Linked DNA regions of Macaca mulatta. The protein of the gene in region 2 interacts with the protein of the main gene of each other region in a pairwise test. Links are inferred from orthologs where the notes say so. Each region holds a gene or a part of one and is shown on either strand. Other genes may lie near its edges.

The links.
Region 1: the proteins of CHAF1A (region 2) and MBD1 interact in binary tests that used the Homo sapiens proteins (3 or more experiments, as listed by UniProt). The link is inferred for Macaca mulatta from reciprocal best matches to the Homo sapiens genes CHAF1A and MBD1.

Annotation. Positions count from the first base shown.
Region 1 is NC_133423.1:42,023,759-42,032,814, forward strand, and holds the start of MBD1 (methyl-CpG-binding domain protein 1), read left to right. Parts: upstream 1-384; 5' UTR 385-545; intron 546-1,896; 5' UTR 1,897-1,921; coding exon 1,922-2,031; intron 2,032-4,983; coding exon 4,984-5,098; intron 5,099-5,189; coding exon 5,190-5,356; intron 5,357-5,443; coding exon 5,444-5,526; intron 5,527-5,772; coding exon 5,773-5,813; intron 5,814-6,174; coding exon 6,175-6,321; intron 6,322-6,424; coding exon 6,425-6,553; intron 6,554-6,907; coding exon 6,908-7,024; intron 7,025-7,107; coding exon 7,108-7,176; intron 7,177-7,821; coding exon 7,822-7,989; intron 7,990-8,311; coding exon 8,312-8,611; intron 8,612-8,704; coding exon 8,705-8,842; intron 8,843-9,056. UniProt on the Homo sapiens protein: Transcriptional repressor that binds CpG islands in promoters where the DNA is methylated at position 5 of cytosine within CpG dinucleotides. Binding is abolished by the presence of 7-mG that is produced by DNA damage by methylmethanesulfonate (MMS).
Region 2 is NC_133424.1:5,238,307-5,247,362, reverse strand, and holds part of CHAF1A (chromatin assembly factor 1 subunit A), read right to left. Parts: intron 6,599-9,056; coding exon 5,742-6,598; intron 1-5,741. UniProt on the Homo sapiens protein: Acts as a component of the histone chaperone complex chromatin assembly factor 1 (CAF-1), which assembles histone octamers onto DNA during replication and repair.

The DNA.
Region 1 (9,056 bases), on a different chromosome or scaffold from region 2:
GTCAGGGAGTGCGCAGGCCCGAAGCAGCTTCCTCGCCGCTGTGGGTATCCGCCTCGGAGACCGCGGGAGGGAAGGGAGGGCGCAGGCGCAAGCCCTCCCCGACGACTTCCCTTCAGTTTGAGACTGGAGAGCGCATGCGCAAGCTAGATGGTCAGCGAGCACAGCCCCGACTGCAGGTCCCTCCTTCGATGGGGCACGAGCTGTCGTTGAACGTCAGCACGCAGATGCAACTGGTTTTCGGCAGGGTGGCGCGCGCCCCGCTGCAGAGCGCCAGCCCGCAGGCGCGGGACCCTCCCTATTAAGGGCACGCGACGTCGAGGCAATAGCGCGCAGGTGCTTAGCCAGAGGCGGAGCCCGAGAGGAAGGCAGCGGACTTCCGGTTCCGGGAGCAACGAACAGCCGCGGAGGCGACAGCTACCGCTTCAGAGGAGGCGGCCGCGGAGGAGGAAGAAGGGGAGGAGGGCGAGGCGGGAGGCGCAGGAGGGACCCTCGCCATGGGTCCACGGGCCTAGAGTGGCGGAAGATACCAGCCTGGTGCCAAACTGGTGAGACAGCCTTGGGGCTGGACGTGGAGAGTGCTCAGGCGGAGGATAGGAAGGAATTGTGGCTGAGAACGCTGACGGGGAGGAATCAAGGGCCCTCAGGCCGATGAGGGGGAGGAATGGCGGCGTCGGAATACTGACGAGGAGAAACGGGGGAATTTAGGCTGAGGACAGGAAGGAATGGAGCTCAGAACTCTGACAGGTAGGAGTGTCGGGATCCTGGGACGAGGACGGAGAGGAATGGTGGAGATCAGAACGCTAAAGGGAGACATCAGGGCATCTGAAGTTGAGAGAGAAATGGGGGTTCAGAACTCCGAGCGGGAGAAATGAGGGGCCCTCAGGCTGATGACAGGAGAAATGGAGGCGTTGGAATGCTGAAAGGGAGGAATGGGAGGCCCCATATAGAGGACGAGGAGCAGTAGGGGATCAGAACGCTGACAGTTAGGGATGGCATGATCCCAGGACAAGAACAGAGAATGGGGGAGGGTTCGGAATGCTGAGGGGAGAAATTAGGGTCTCTCAGGATAAGGGAGGAATGGAGAATGAGAACAGTGAGAGGGAGAAGTGGGGAACTTTTTGGATGTAGAGGAGAGAAACAGGAAGGTTTGGGGGCTGAGACTGGGGAGAAATTGTGGGCCAGAACATTGAAGGAGAAGAAAAATAAGGGGGGAGCTCTTGGCTGAGGAAGGGGAGGCATGGGAGGCTTCCAGTGTGTGAGAAATGGAAAAGATGAGGGGCTGTTCGGGTCATGGGTTGGAGCAGTTGTGTCTCGCAGAGGAAGTCGAGGTTGTAACACTGAGGTAGCAAGATAAGAGGACATCAGGCAGAGACGGAATGGAATGGTTAAAACACTGAAGGAAGGAAATTAGGAACTCCTGGGTCGGGGAAGGGGGGAATGAGAGACTACTGAAGCCAAGTAGTGAGGGCAAGAGAAATGGGGCCCTTTGGGGCTGAGGATGGGAAGTATGGGGGTCTTGTGGTGATAAAATAGAGGGATAGAGGCCCTTAGGTCAGTGACAGGGAGGAATGAGGGGGGAAGATGAAAAGTTTCTGGATTGGCAGTGAGGAGAAATGATGGGCTGTCAGTCTGAGGATAGAGAGGAGTAGGGGATTAGGACACTAAGAATAATAAACAGGGATCCTTGGGTTGAGGAATGAGGATCTCCTAGGCCCAGAATAGGAAAGAATGGGGTGAGAATATGAGGGGTTTCTTCTCCATATATGGGCTGGTTGCCTGCGGCAGGTCCTAGGTCTTGGGCAAGCACTAATGGATACCAGTGATTTGTGTGGCCTGGGGCACATTTTGTCCCTTCCTAGAGCCTCAGTTTCCCTCATCCCCTCAACCCCCTTTCAGGCTACTGCTGCTTTCTGTGGCCTCCATGGCTGAGGACTGGCTGGACTGCCCGGCCCTGGGCCCTGGCTGGAAGCGCCGTGAAGTCTTTCGCAAGTCAGGGGCCACCTGTGGACGCTCAGACACCTATTACCAGAGGTACTGGGTGGGTTGTGGGCAGAGTGGGGGTGGGGTAGAGCCTCATTAGGGTAAAATCAAATAGTGCGGTTAAATTTATGGATGGAGTTTAAATTATGCACAGTTAATCGTTATTAGCGGATTTTGTGTTTGCAATTTCACCTACTTAATACAGTATTTGTAACTTAAAAGTCACTACTCACAGTGCATTTGTGATTATTGAAGGACATGCACAGAGCAGTGAAAAACTGTCACTCAATGCATGTGTTTCTAGCTGAGACTGAAGGAGCCCTTTTTATTTCAGCTTTAATACTGTAAACAAGTGTCCTTTTCGTGGTCTGTTTAGTGTCACATTTTTCTAATTTTTGTATGTTTTGTTGGTGATTTTGCTTTTTAAAATAGTCCTCAAGCGTAGTGCTGAGGTGCTGTTTAGTGTTCTGAGTGTGAGAAGGCCATGTCGTGCCTTACGGAGAAAATACAAGGCAGATAAACCTTGTTGGTTATCTGAGTTACAATGCTGTTGGCTGTAAGTTCAATGTTATGCATCAGAATTATGGTACAACCAGAAAAAGAAGGAAATTTGCCAATATGTGCACAAGGCTGCTTCAGAAAATACAGAAAGCATTTATAGTCTTGAAGCTATGGAAGAGATGAGAAAGCAGCTACGTTGGTGGATTCATGAAATGACGATCAATAAAGCATAGTGGACAGCATTGTTGAGGAAAGCCAAAGTCACGTTACCCTGGGTTAGGAAAATATTAAGGTTGTATCAGCTAGTGCTGGCTGACTTGCACATTTCAAAAGGCAACATGGCATGAAAAATGTTAAACTTGCATGCAATGCAGGTTCTCCCGATCAGGAGTCTTCCGAAGAATTTTAAAAATACCTTTTAAGTGTTTTATAGGAAAGGGGTTGTGTAGAAGAGTGGTTTTCAATGCCAATGGGATTGGCTTGTTAAACAAAAATATTAGCAAACAAACCTACAGAACACATATGGCCTCCAAAGCCCCTGGTTTGAGTCATTCAAAGACCATGCAAATAATCATTTGTAAAAAATATATATTAAGTAATGTGTATTTAAACAGAAACACGCACAAAACAGAAGTTCAGATGCTCTCAGGAACCTAACCCTGTATTTCCTCTAGGAGCAATGGTTTTGTATTCAGTGTTCATGGCAACTTTGTAGAACATACCTACCATAACTAATGAGAATCAGCATAGATGTTTATAAGCATTTACATGTGTTTAGGCTACATTAATTATTATGTTTCTATATTCGTTCTGATTTTTTAAATCTAAGTTGCAGTTTTCCAGGTAAATATCAAATTACAAATTACTTTTTGTTTGTATTTAGTTATAATTTATTCACATATTTATGTACTCGTATAAAACTTTCAAAACTTAAAAGTGCAGTTGTCAGGAACTACGAAGGATCTGAGATTTCATTCTTAGGACAAGATAATAGTGAATTTGTCAGAATTTTGTAGATGTTGGTAGGAGAGGTAAGACTCCTGGGTTACAGGTCAAAGACAGTTTATTATAACAGTTGCAGGATCCAGAATAAGTCTCCCCCTTATCTGCAATTTCATTTTCCACAGCTTTAGTTACCTACAGTCAACCACCATCCAAAAATATTAAATGGAAAATTTTAGAAATAAACAATTCATTAGTTTTGAATTGTGTGCCGTTTTGAGTGGCGTGATGAAATCTCACACCATCCTGCTCAGTCCTGCTCAGGAGGTGAATCATCTCTTTGTCCATATCCATATCCATATCCATATCCATGTTCTATACACAACCTGCCTGTTAGTCGCTTAGTAACCATCTCAGTTATCAGGTAGAAAAAAACACAGTACATATTACATTAGGGTTTGGTACTATCCACGGTTTCAGGCATCCACTGGGGAACTTGGGATGTATACCCTGACGAGAGGGGGAATTACTGTATTACTATTTTTGTGCCAGTTTCCTGAATCCCAATTCCTACAGCATGACATGAAGAGGGTTGTATTATTATAGGAAAAGAACCCTGAGCTTAGAGAATCAAGTTTTTTTAATAACGTTAGGACACTAAGTATGCTTTCCTTTTACTATGGAAGGAGACCCTATCTCTTATCTTCCAAGGTTGTTTGCTTTACAAACATCCTTGGAAAGATAGTTTATCAAAAAGAATAATCGGTGTCTCTCTTGCAGGGCGTACAGAAATGCAAGAAACCAGGGGTCCCAAAATCAATTACTTATACTTTAATTTGTGTGTAGTTGTATTTGTTTGTGTGTTTTTAAAACATATTTGTGTTGTTTTCTTTGCTTGATTATATACTGGGTACATAATGCTAACTTATTTATTTATTTATTTATATTTTGAGATAGAGTCTCGCTCTGTCGCCCAGGCTGGAGTACAGTGGTGCAATCTCGGCTTACTGCAAACTCCGCCTCCCGGGTTCAAGCCATTCTCCTGCCTCAGCCTCCCGAGTAGCTGGGACTACAGGCACTCGCCGCCATGCGTGGCTAATTTTTTTTTGTATTTTTAGTAGAGATGGGGTTTCACCATGTTAGCCAGGATGGTCTTGATCTCCTGACCTCGTGATCCGCCCGCCTTGGCCTCCCAAGGTGCTGGGATTACAAGTGTGAGCCATCGCACCTGGCCAGTGCTAACATATTTATATGTTATTTAATATATTTGTGTTTCTATTTGTGTCTATTTTTACTTATGTGAAATAGTTCCAGTATTACTAGTATTATATGTTATAAATATATTTGTCTGTTTACATTTGTATTGTTTCTGATGTTTGTATTTGTGTTGGTATTTATATTAATTTTTTATGTTTTCAAGGTTAGTTGAGGTGGGGCTGGGCAGGGCTCACAGGCCAATTCCAGGCTGCCTCCTGTATCCTGCCAGCCCTGTCGGAAGGTTGTGTGGGTGAAATGACATTGGCTCCACTTGGGTGCTAACCCATCATGGCCCATCCCTAGCCCCACAGGAGACAGGATCCGAAGCAAAGTTGAGCTGACTCGATACCTGGGCCCTGCGTGTGATCTCACCCTCTTCGACTTCAAACAAGGCATCTTGTGCTATCCAGCCCCCAAGGTACTTTACAATGTGAGATGCCTAGGTAGGGGTGGCTGTGCCACTCAGCACCCACCCACTGACCCATATGCCTCCTTTCCTTACTTTCCAGGCCCATCCTGTGGCTGTTGCCAGCAAGAAGCGAAAGAAGCCTTCAAAGCCAGCCAAGACTCGGAAACGTCAGGTTGGACCCCAGAGTGGTGAGGTCAGGAAGGAGGCCCCAAGGGACGAGACCAAGGCTGACACTGACACAGCCCCAGCTTCATTCCCTGCTCCTGGGTGAGTGTTGGTTTGAGGTGAGCCAGATGGGTGAGGGTTGTGATTGGGGGTGCTCTTGGAGCCCCTCACCTGCCTTTCCCATCCCAGATGCTGTGAGAACTGTGGAATCAGCTTCTCAGGGGATGGCACCCAAAGGCAGCGGCTCAAAACATTGTGCAAAGACTGTCGAGGTGAGTGACCCCCAGAGGATGGGGCATCGGGAGATAGGAGCTAGAGCAGGTTCAGTGTCATGCTAGGCTGGGGGTTGAATGTAGATGTCAGGACAGAGGCTACTGGCATGGTTGGAGGTTGGATACTGGAGATAGCAGGCATGGGTAGAGGTTGAATAGTGGAAGTCAGGGCACAGGCAGTGAGTGAATCAGTCAGATGTCTGTTGCTTTCTTTCCACTTTTCTTCTTCCCTCTTCCTCCCCACAGCACAGAGAATTGCCTTCAACCGAGAACAGAGAATGTTTAAGGTAAGCACAACCTGCTTTCTCTTCACACCTCTGCAGTGGGAGCAGGATGTGATTGAGCTGGTAGAGTCCTAAGGGATGATGATAGGTCCACAGGATGAAGTCATTTTATAGGGTGCTCTCCATAGGTCAGCAAACACAGTAATGGGAATCAATGGGTTAATTAATTCCCGTTACCATTAGTGCATCAGTAGACACAGTGATGAAGTTAGCAAGGGACCAGTAGACATACTAATGGCCTCAGTGATGAGGCTTACGGGCGACTAGAAGTCCCGGTGATGGGAGCTGATGTAGGGTCAGTAGACATGGGAGGACCAGTGCTTCTGGAGCAGGCCCGTGATCTCGTCCCTACCATTCCTGGCAGCGTGTGGGCTGTGGGGAGTGTGCAGCCTGCCAGGTAACAGAAGACTGTGGGGCCTGCTCCACGTGCCTCCTGCAGCTGCCCCATGATGTGGCATCGGGGCTGTTCTGCAAGTGTGAACGGAGACGCTGCCTCCGGATTGTGGAAAGGGTGAGTCGGGCAAGTGGAAAGAGCCCAAGGCTCACCTCGGCCCCTGGCCCTCGTGGGCTTGGCCCCATGCTTCATGCCTCTGCTCCCACATCCCCTCCAACAGAGCCGAGGGTGTGGAGTATGCCGGGGCTGTCAGACCCAAGAGGACTGTGGCCGTTGTCCCATCTGCCTTCGCCCTCCCCGCCCTGGTCTCAGGCGCCAGTGGAAATGTGTCCAGCGACGTTGCCTACGGGTGAGTCGGGCTGGAGGGAGCAGAGCTCACTCTGCTGTTAAAATCGTCGCTGCCTCTGCTTCCTTTCAACCTGGCCTTGCCTACCTTATGTCTTTCTTTTCTGCCTAACCCCACGCTCACCTTTCTGGCCCCGCCTGCCTGCCCCTGTCTGCCAGCACCTTGCTCACCGCCTGCGTCGCCGTCATCAGAGATGTCAGCGACGCACTCCCCTGGCTGTGGCTCCCCCAACTGTGAGTGCCTCATGCCACCCTCTGTCTGCCTGTCCCATGCATGCTTTCTGCACTTAGGGAGTGGGGAGTTCCTGTGTCTGCCTGGTGCCACCAAGCTGAAACCACCCTTTCTGGTCTTTCCCAGGGTAAACATGCCCGCCGCAAGGGAGGCTGTGACTCCAAGATGGCTGCCAGGAGGCGCCCCGGAGCCCAGCCACTGCCTCCACCTTCCCCATCACAGTCCCCAGAGCCCACAGAGCCGGTGAGGCCCCAGTGGGTGGAGGGAAGGCACAACCCTGACCTTACCCAGTACCTGCCCTGACCCCACCCCATTTGCCTCTACAGCACCCCAGAGCCCTGGCCCCCTCGCCACCTGCCGAATTCATCTATTACTGTGTAGACGAGGACGAGCTAGTGAGTGGCCCTACCCTACCTGGATAAGCCTAGACTCTCAGGACGCTTGGTTAACTTCAAAGAAGCAGATGCTGGAATGAGCCTATTGGGGAACAGCAAGGCACAATAATGGGTCCTAGGATGGGATGAGTAGATAATGGAGGACTAATACAGGGTCAGCAGGTGCAATGACAGTGCCTCATGTCACATGTATCAACACTCTGGTGGCTGATGCAGGACTAATCGACACAGTGATGGGATTGACAGAGGAGCAGCTAGCACAATGACTGGGGTTCACACAGGATGAGCAGACAGAGTAGGCACAGTGATGGGAGCTAATAGAGAGTTATCAAAATGTTGCTGGAAATGGGGGTTAGAGACATTTTCTTGGTAGCCATTGGTGGCCTAGGAAATACAGCACTGGATATTGTAGTGGAGCAGCCACAGTCCTAATGGTATCGAGGGCCAGCTGGCACAGCGATAGTGGCCAATGTTGAACTAGCAAATGCTGAGGAGTGACTAGCTGGGAGTCAGGAGGCTGAGACTAGTATGCAAGTAGCTCCTTCTTATGGGGCTAGAGGAGCACCAGGACCAGCACTGGAATAGGCGTTGAGGATGGCCTCTCCTAGTCCTAGTTGACAGCACCACCCATTCCCCCCACCCCAGCAGCCCTACACGAACCGCCGGCAGAACCGCAAGTGCGGGGCCTGTGCAGCCTGCCTACGGCGGATGGACTGTGGCCGCTGCGACTTCTGCTGCGACAAGCCCAAATTCGGGGGCAGCAACCAGAAGCGCCAGAAGTGTCGTTGGCGCCAATGCCTGCAGTTTGCCATGGTGGGTGGGGCAGGAAGGGTCAGGTGGCCGGGATAGGTTGGGCCAGGCGCCCCAGTGCCTGGGAGTGGTGGGCAGGCTTGGTAGGTGGGTGGGTGGCGCAGTAGCTTTGGTTGAGGATTAACAGACATTGTGCTTGGCTTAATGAGTCTAGGTGGCATTGGTGTTGCTAATAGGAGACTAGCAGGCTCAATGACGAAGGGCTCATACGTAAGCAGATTCCATGCTGGGACCGATGGGAGATTAGCAGGCATGTGGAGCCGGGCAGGGTGGATGTGACTGGTCAGGACACCAGGTAGCCATAGCACCCTATCTTTCCTCATAGAAGCGGCTGCTGCCCAGTGTCTGGTCAGAGTCTGAGGATGGGGCAGGATCGCCCCCACCTTACCATCGTCGAAAGAGGCCCAGCTCTGCCCGACGTCACCATCTTGGGCCTACCTTGAAGCCCACCTTGGCTACACGCACAGCCCAACCAGACCATACCCAGGCTCCAACGAAGCAGGAAGCAGGTGGTGGCTTTGTGCTGCCTCCGCCTGGCACTGACCTTGTGTTTTTACGGGAGGGCGCAAGCAGTCCTGTGCAGGTGCCAGGCCCTGTTGCAGCTTCCACAGAAGCCCTGTTGCAGGTGAGGGCCCCACCCTGTCCTTCCCTTCCCAGCCCCACCCAGCCTCATGCCAGGGAGCTGAGACCAAGTCTGCTGCAATCCTCCCTCACGCAGGAGGCCCAGTGCTCTGGCCTGAGTTGGGTTGTGGCCTTACCCCAGGTGAAGCAAGAGAAGGCGGATACCCAGGACGAGTGGACACCAGGCACAGCTGTCCTGACTTCTCCCGTATTGGTGCCTGGCTGCCCTAGCAAGGTGGGGGCAGTGATGGATGTTCTGTTGATGCCGTAGCAGGCTGGTCTGTAAGCAGAGTGATGATGAGCCATGATGGTTCTCTTAAGCAGAGCAATAGATGTGCTGATTGCAACCTTTCTGCAGAATTACCCCGCCTGTCTAACAGACACCCTACCTCCTGCAGGCAATTAGCTTTGCCCGCTTTGCTGTCCAGCTAACAGAAAAACGGAGGTCA
Region 2 (9,056 bases):
GGTATCTAATTTCCAAGCCCAGACCAGATAAGCAGATAAAACCTAACAGCAGGGGAGCGAAGGCAGGGGGAAAAGAGAAAACCTGAAATCGGCCCGAGTAGAGTGCAAGCTGGGAAAATAAGAACGCACAGTTCTCCTTAACAGCCCAAGGCCACTTGTAGAAGGAAGCTCAAGGGAACAATCATTTTGTGAAAGCCAAACACGGAAACAACAGAACTGAGAAGACAGCTCTGTAACCCACACTATGGGATATCACGCAACAGAGAGTTCGATCTTTCCATCCTAACATAAAAAACATCTAAGACACCCCTGAGTAACAAAGACAGATATTTACAGTATATGTTATACACAAGGAAACAAAATGATACTGGGTGTTTCCTAGAGATCTCTCTGGATATGCAGGACACAGAAAAATACAAAATGATGATGATGATAATAATGGCAACCTCCTGGGAGAACAGAGGGCTGCGAGGTTTCCATTCTTTCTTTCCTTTTTGTTTTTTTGAGACAGGGTCTGACTGTTGCCCAGGCTGGAGCGTAGTGCAATCATGACTCACTGCAACCTCTGCCTACTTGGCTCAAGTGATCCTTCCACCTCAGCCTCCCAAGGAGCTGGGACTTCAGGTGCATACCACCACCCTGTTAATTTTTGTATTTTTTATACAGACAGGGTTTCACCATGTTGGTCAAGCCAGTTTTGAACTCCTAGGTTCAAGCGATCCTCCCACCTCGGCTTCCCAAAGTGCTGGGATTACAGGCATGAGCCACCACACCTGGACCATTATTTCTTTTAAACATGGAGAATTTATTACAAATGTAAGTTCAAGTATATGGAAAGAAGTTCCAGCAATCTCAGAAGAGAGGCAAGCCAAAGATTCCAGGAATACAACTGCACCAACATGATCATTTGTGGAATAATCATCTCGATCACTAACAGAAAAGGCTAAATTACAAGTCTGATTGCAAACAAACTTCAGAAATGGTTCTTTCCCACAGGGTAGAAAACTCTTAATACTAAAAAGGAACACTTCAGCCATTCAAAGGACGGATCTTTCTAAATCATTGTTTTCCAAAGTGAGATTCTTCAGATCCTGCAGTACTAAAACAACAAAAACCAAAACAAAAACACGCCCTGAAGCTCCCTGAAAAAGGACAGCAGGATCTGTATAGAAACAAACTCCCATTTTCTTTTAAAGAAGGAAAAAAGAAGGCAAGCCAGCCCACAAAGTACAGTGGCAATGGCTGCCCCGGGGCTCAATGCAGATTTCACTGTACCAACTCCACGAAGAACAGACCCCAGTGACAAGCACACAGATTACACAGCAGCACGAAACAATCTGCAAGCTTCCTACCAGCTCGCCCTTGCAATCTGGAAAGAGCTGCTGGTGGGGAGGGAAAGTGTGAAAACAATGTATTCCCCAGAGTAACAGGGGTTGTCGGCAGGGGGTGGCTCGGACCTCATGGCAAGGAAAGGTATTAAGAGTTAGGTACCAACTGGCCAGCACGGTGGCTCATGCCTGTAATCCCAGCACTTTGGGAAGCTGAGGTTGGTGGATCACGAGGTCAGGAGTTCGAGACCAGCCTGACCAACGTCGTGAAACCCCGTCTTTACTAAAAATACAAAAATTAGCCAGGCCTGGTGGCACATGCCTGTAATCCTAGCTACTTGGGAGGCTGAGACACGAGAATCACTTGAACCCAGGAGGCAGAGGTTGCAGGAGCCGAGATCACACCATTGCACTCCAGCCTGGGCAACAGAGTGAGACTTTGTCTCAAAAAAATAAATTAAAATAAATTAAAAAAAAAAAAAAACAGTTAGGTACCAAGCATGAAGCAAATCAACCAACCCAAAAATGCAGGACTCCTCAAAGGTACAGAGATAACTTAGGGGTTGGGGGTGAAGTCTCTTCCAGCTGGGATCTCAGGGAGCCCTGCCATCAGGGCATGCGGAGGCCTCCTGATAATCGCTTCCCTCATAGCTTCGGTGACTGACAGGCCCTCTGGGAGTGGTTGTGGCCGCTTTCTGCCATAGGCTCTGGGCCAGCTTGAAGCCTTTACCACTTGCAAATTATCTGAAGAGTTGGGGTAATACTGCCTTCGAGTGCATTCCAAAACCTCGAGCCTGTGTTCAGAACAAGACCTAGCATCCTAAATGCAGGGTTTCCTAAATGTCGCACACTGGGTTCATGTGCTCAGCTGTTTTAGAAAGCAGGTAGGATGTGTCACCATGATGACCAACGAGGGGACTTCCCAGTTTGCAGACTAGGCTGTGGACATGGAAACAAACTTAATGGAAACATGTGCTTGTGTCCTGTCCTTTTTTTTTTTTTTTTTTTTTTTTTTTTTGAGACGGAGTCTCGCTCTGTCACCCAGGCTGGAGTGCAGTGGCCGGATCTCAGCTCACTGCAAGCTCCGCCTCCCGGGTTCACGCCATTCTCCTGCCTCAGCCTCCCGAGTAGCTGGGACTACAGGCGCCTGCCACCTCGCCCGGCTAAGTTTTTGTATTTTTAGTAGAGACGGGGTTTCACTGTGTTAGCCAGGATGGTCTCGATCTCCTGACCTCATGATCCGCCCGTCTCGGCCTCCCAAAGTGCTGGGATTACAGGCTTGAGCCACCGCGCCCGGCCCTGTTCTTTTTTTTAATTTTTTTTCCTGAGACGGAGTTTTGCTCGTTACCCAGACTGGAGTGCAGTGGCGCGATCTCAGGTCACCGCAACCTCTGCCTCCTGGGTTCAAGCGATTCTCCTGCCTCAGCCTCCAGCGTAGCTGGGATTTCAGGCACACACCACCACACCCAGCTACTTTTTTGTATTTTTAGTAGAGACAGGGTTTCTCTATGTTGGTCAGCCTGGTCTCGAACTTCCGACCTCAGGTGATCCACCCACCTCGGCCTCCCTAAGTGCTGGGATTACAGGTGTGAGCCACCGTGCCCGGCCATGTGTCCTGTTCTTGCTAAACGGCTGCAACACACCACAGGACGAAATTCTGCAAAGCGGCAGCAGCCTGGAAGAAATTAAAGTGATCGAATGTACACTACAGGATGGCCAATGGGGAATGACTTCAACTCTGATTTTGGGAGACTGTGTGGTGCCTTAGGTAGAAGTTGAAATGTGTACATCCCAGTCTGTCACATTTAGCATCTTAGAAAAGGGTACTAGGCTTAGTACCTGAGTGATGAAATAATCTGTACAACAAACCCCCATGACAAGAGTTTACCTATATAACAAACCAGCACACACAAAAAAAGAAGACCGGGGCAGTGGCTTATGCCTGTAATCCCAGTACTTTGGGAGGCCAAGGCGAGCGGATCACTTGAGGTCAGAAGTTTGAGACCAGCCTGGCCAACGTGGTGAAACCTGTTCTCTACTCAAAAAAATACAAAAATTAGCCAGGCATGGTGGTGGGCACCTGTAATCCCAGCTACTCAGAGGCTAAGGCAGGAAAATCTCTCGAACCCAGAAGGTGGAGGTTGCAGTAAGCTGACATCATGCCACTGCACTCCAGCCTGGGCGACAGGGTGAGACCATGTCTAAAAAAAAAAAAAAAATTTGCTCCATTTTTTAATCAACATTTCATGAACCTAAAGAGGAAGTCATTTTTTCCTTTTGCCTCTTCTCAAGTGAAAGACAAGAAATGATGTCGTTCGGAAAAATAAATGGTCCCGGCCAAGCCTGTGATCCCAGCATTTTGGGAGGCCAAGGCCTCCCCTCACCTGAGGTCAGGAGTTCAAGACCAGCCTGGCCATCATGGCAAAACTCCATCTCTACTAAAAATACAAAAATTAGCTGAGCCTGGTGGCGGGTGCCTCTAATCCCAGCTACTTGAGAGGCTGAGGCAGAATTGCTTGAACCCAGGAGGCGGAGGTTGCAGTGAGCTTAGATGGCGCCACTGCACTCCAGCCTGGGTGACAAAGCAAGACTGTCTCAAAAAAAAAAAAAAAAAAAAAAGAGGCCGGGCGCGGTGGCTCAAGCCTGTAATCCCAGCACTTTGGGAGGCCGAGACAGGCGGATCACGAGGTCAGGAGATCGAGACCATCCTGGCTAACACGGTGAAACCCCGTCTCTACTAAAAATACAAAAAAAAAACTAGTCGGGCGCGGTGGCGGGCGCCTGTAGTCCCAGCTACTCGGGAGGCTGAGGCAGGAGAATAGCGTAAACCCGGGAGGCGGAGCTTGCAGTGAGCTGAGATCCGGCCACTGCACTCCAGTCTGGGCGACAGAGCGAGACTCCGTCTCAAAAAAAAAAAAAAAAAAAAAAAAAGAAAGAAAGAAAAAGAAATTGTTCCTTAGAGCTCAAAATCCCAAAAGCGAACAAGGTTGGTGGTTTATAGTCCAGGTGGTCTACTGTACCTGCTTACAAGTAGAGATTAAATGACCCATCTCAGGATCTACTCTCTTATAAAGAACCAGCATGAACAAACAAAAGTGCTACAAAACCAAAAACAAAAAAAAGGCACTGTCTCTTCTGGTTCTACATACTTAAGATAAAAAGTAAAAATATATAAACCAAAAAAAGACACCATTAAACACAGCATGGAACTTGTGACTGATTTTATCAGTTTGGTCCATAAGATCCTAAGGACACCATCGTGCTAATAAAAAAACAGTAACAGAGACAGTCCATGCAAAAGTCCCTCTTATGGGGTCCTTAAAAATGGTTCCAGATGGGGTCTCACTCTGTCATCCAGGCTGGAGCACAGTGGTGTGATCACAGCTCACTGCAGCCTCCACCTCCTCAGCTCAAGTGATCCTCCTGCCTCGGCTTCCCAGGTGGCTGGGACTACAGGCATGTGCCACCATGCCCGGATAATTAAAAAAAATTTTTTTGCAGGGCTGGGTGCAGTGGCTCATGCCTGTAATTCCAGCACTTTGGGAGGCCAAGATGGGCAGATCACTTGAGGTCAGGAATTCAAGACTAGCCTGGCAAAGATAGTGAAACCCTGTCTCCACTAAAAATATAAAAATTAGCCAGGTGTGGTAGCGCACACCTATAATCCCAGCTATTAGGGAGGCTGAGGCAGGAGAATCACTTGAACCTGGGAGGCGGAGGTTGCAGTGAGCAGAGATCACGCCACTGAACTCCAGAGGCTGGGTGATAGAGTGGCTCTGTCAAAAAAATAAAAATAATTTTTTTTTTTTGTAGAGATGGTGTCTTTGTTGTCCAGGTTGGTTTTGATCTTCAAGCGATCCTCCCACCTCGGCCTCCCAAAGTGCTGGGATGACAGCCATGAGCCACTGCGCCTGGCCCCAGGTGAGGTTTTTTAGATGGGTGGCTGTGCTGACTCTACAGAATTCCCCATGTCATGCTTCCTGCCGTCTCACTGCCACTTCAGTGCTCAATGCCTCCATAGCCCCGTCCCTACAGTTCTATGCTTGGATGGGAGGGGCACAGAGAGAGCTGGACCTGGAATCTCAAGTGAGGGGTTACAGCACCAGCTCAGATCCTAATTCCCTAAAATGGCTAAGCTATCACTAATTAGATGTAAACAACGAAGCAAAACAGCAGGGTGTTATCCACACAGTACACCAGGTACACTGTTGATGAATTAAGTCCCAGGCGCATCACAACGAATGCAGAACCGAACACTGAGTTTTGATACAAGAACTCCGTGTCGAGTCCCAGGACCCAGCCTGTGGCCCCGCTCACTCTGCCACAGACCAGCTGGGTGACCCGGTGGAGACTGACAGCGTGCTCTGAGATCCATGAGCACTGATGTGTAGGGACTCCATGGGAGATACTCACTCTGCGCACGGGCGTGGAGGTGGGGAAGGGACTGGTGCTGCTGTGTCGCTTTGTGGGAGCAGGCGGCCCCTCGGGAGAGCTGGTGGAAGAGGGAGAGCTCAGGGACGAATGGCTGAGTACAGAGTCTTCTTCAGGGCAAGATTCCAGCGCCCCGCTCTCAGGGGTCATGTCCTTGCCTTGGGGTGTGGCTGGAGGGGACTTGGTTTGGGGCGGTCTCACAGCCAAGATGTCCTGCAAGACCACCATGGGCACCTTCCCTCTGAACAGGATGCCCCCAGCTTCACTCCAACTGTCCTGCTCCTTTCTGGAGCACAGTCTCAGACCACTCGTCAGCTCCGGGCAGCTCTGTGGTGAACATTCCTGGGAGTCACCTCTCCTCCCTGCACCTCCACAGCCAACACCCTCCTCCTCTGTTTTGTAAGGAATGTTTGAAAGGGTCTCTCCAGGAAATGCCAACTTGTCGTTCTGATTGGCCTTCAACGACCCCTGCTGATCCCTAGTGTCTTCTCGGTTGCCATTTACTGCTTCCCTGGAGGGAGAAGCTTCAGAACTCAGTTTATTGTGGTCCACAAGACTGTCTGGCTGCTCATTTGAGTCCTCTGTCAAATCAATGATGACTGTGCTCTGGCCAACACTGGTTTCGACTCTGTTTCCTAAAAAGTTATCTAAGGGACCCTTCCCGTTGACAAGTTTTGGTCTAAAGTCTATGTCAGAACCCACAGGACAGTCGTTTTCCAAGGTGTCCAAAGAGGCCTCCAAATCGGGGCTTTTACTCTGCACAGAAGTAACCTGATCATCTGACATGTCATCGTCTTTCCCCTTTGGGACAAGATTCAGGCGCTTAAACGGCAGACGGGCTGAAACAAAGAGAAAGCCATCTTTAGTGAACGTTTAAAGTTACAACCACTCATGAGCTTGAAAATTATTGACTTGTTGGGACACAGGCGTGGGGGATAATTTTAAAGTTTAAAAAGGGTCTATCTGGGTGGTGGCTCACACCTGTAATCCCAGCACTTTGGGAGGCCAAGGCAGGTAGGTCACAAGGTCAGGAGTTCGAGACCAGACAGACCAAAACGGTGAAACCCCGTCTCTACTAAAAATACAAAATAGCTGGGTGTAGTGGTACGTGCCTGTAATCCCAGCTACTTGAGAAGCTGAGGCAGGAGAACAGCTTGAACCCAGGTGCTGGGATTACAGGCGTGAGTCACCATGCCCCACTTCAACATCCTAATTTAAAAAAAACCAAAATCCTGGCCGGGTACGGTGGCTCAAGCCTGTAATCCCAGCACTTTGGGGGGCCGAGACAGGTGGATCACGAGGTCAGGAGATCAAGACCATCCTGGCTAACACGGTGAAACCCCGTCTCTACTAAAAAATACAAAAACTAGCCGGGCGAGGTGGTGGGCACCTATAGTCCCAACTACTCAGGAGGCTGAGGCAGGAGAATGGTGTAAACCCAGGAGGCGGAGCTTGCAGTGAGCTGAGATCTGGCCACTGCACTCCAGCCTGGGCGACAGAGCGAGACTCCGTCTCAAAAAAAAACAAAAACAAAATCCTGACAAGTCTTTTAGCAGAGCTACTGCCAGAATTTCAACAGACATTTTTTGATTTCAGATCCAGTTCATATTCCAAATTTATTTATAATGGGTGAAAATCTCATTTGATGATAACTGCATCTGGTTCTCAAGTAGAAAATACACAGACATATTTGTGGACAGGGTTTTTTGTTTTGTTTTGTTTTTTTCCTGGCCTCAGCACCCCAGGCTCTGTTAGGCTTTTCTCATCAATCAGACTGTTCTCCCAGAGCCTGCCAGGATTCGGGCTCGTTAGGAGGGACGCAGAAACACTTTAGAGAGTGAACATCCCAAGGAACCTATGTTCACTTACTTCCATGCCAATTCATCTTTTTATTAACTATTTCATCATGTAATAGACCAAATAAAAACCTGTTTTTTTTTTTGGGGGGGGGGTTGTTTGTTTTGAGACAGTCTCACTCTGTCACCAGGCTGGAGTGTAATGGTACACCCTTGGCTCACTGCAACCTCTTCCTCCCGGGTTCAAGCAATTCTCTTGCCTCGGCCTCCCAAGTAGCTGGGACTACAGGTGTCCCCCACCATGCCCAGCTATTTTGTATTTTAATAGAGATGGGGTTTCACCATTGGTCTCAAACTCCTGAGCTCAATCTGCCCACCTTAGCCTCCCAAAGTGCTAGAATTATAGGTGTGAGCCACCGTGTCTGGCTTCTCCCTTTTTTTCTTTTAAAAGACAGAGTCGGCCGGGCGCGGTGACTCAAGCCTGTAATCCCAGCACTTTGGGAGGCCGAGACGGGCGGATTACGAGGTCAGGAGATCGAGACTATTCTGGCTAACACGGTGAAACCCCGTCTCTACTAAAAATACAAAAACTTAGCCGGGCGAGGTGGCAGGCGCCTGTAGTCCCAGCTACTCGGGAGGCTGAGGCAGGAGAATGGCGTGAACCCGGGAGGCGGAGCTTGCAGTGAGCTGAGATCCGGCCACTGCACTCCAGCCTGGGTGACAGAGTGAGACTCCGTCTCAAAAAAAAAAAAAAAAAAAAAAAAAAGAGACAGAGTCTTCCTGTGATCCAGGCTGAAGTACAGTGGTGTGATTATAGCTCACTGCAGCCTTGAACTTCCGGGCTCAAGCAATCCTCCCATCCCAGCCACTCAAATAGCTGGTTTTACAGGTATGCACCCACTGCACCCAGCCCAAGTTTGAAAAACCCAAAACTGTAGTTTCTAAAAATACAATCTGGGCTGGGCACGGTGGCTCACATCTGTAATCCTAGCACTTTGAAAGGCCAAGGCAGGGGCATCACAAGGTCAGGAGATCGAGACCATCCTGGCCAACATGCTAAAACCCTGTCTTTACTAAAAATACAAAAATTAGCTGGGTGTGGTGGCACACGCCTGTAATCCCAGCTACTTGGGAGGCTGAGGCAAGAGAATTTGCTTGAACCCGGGAGGCAGACGTTACAGTGAGCTGAGATGGCATCACTGCACTCCAGCCTGACAAGAGTGAGACTCCGTCTCAAAAAAAAAAAAAAAAAAAAATCCGACCACTCATGTGGCCTAAGGGTAAATGCACTCCCCGTTTTACACAGAAGGATTTGGGAACATTTATCTTCCAGGACAACAGTGGTTTTCCACGGGGGCAGTTCTACCTCCCAGGGGACATCAGCCACATATGGAGATATTTTTGGTTGTTACAACTTGGAGGATGCACTTACTGGCATCCAGTGGGAAGACGCCAGGGCTGCTGCTAAGCTCCCTACAATACACAGGACAGCTCCCCAGCT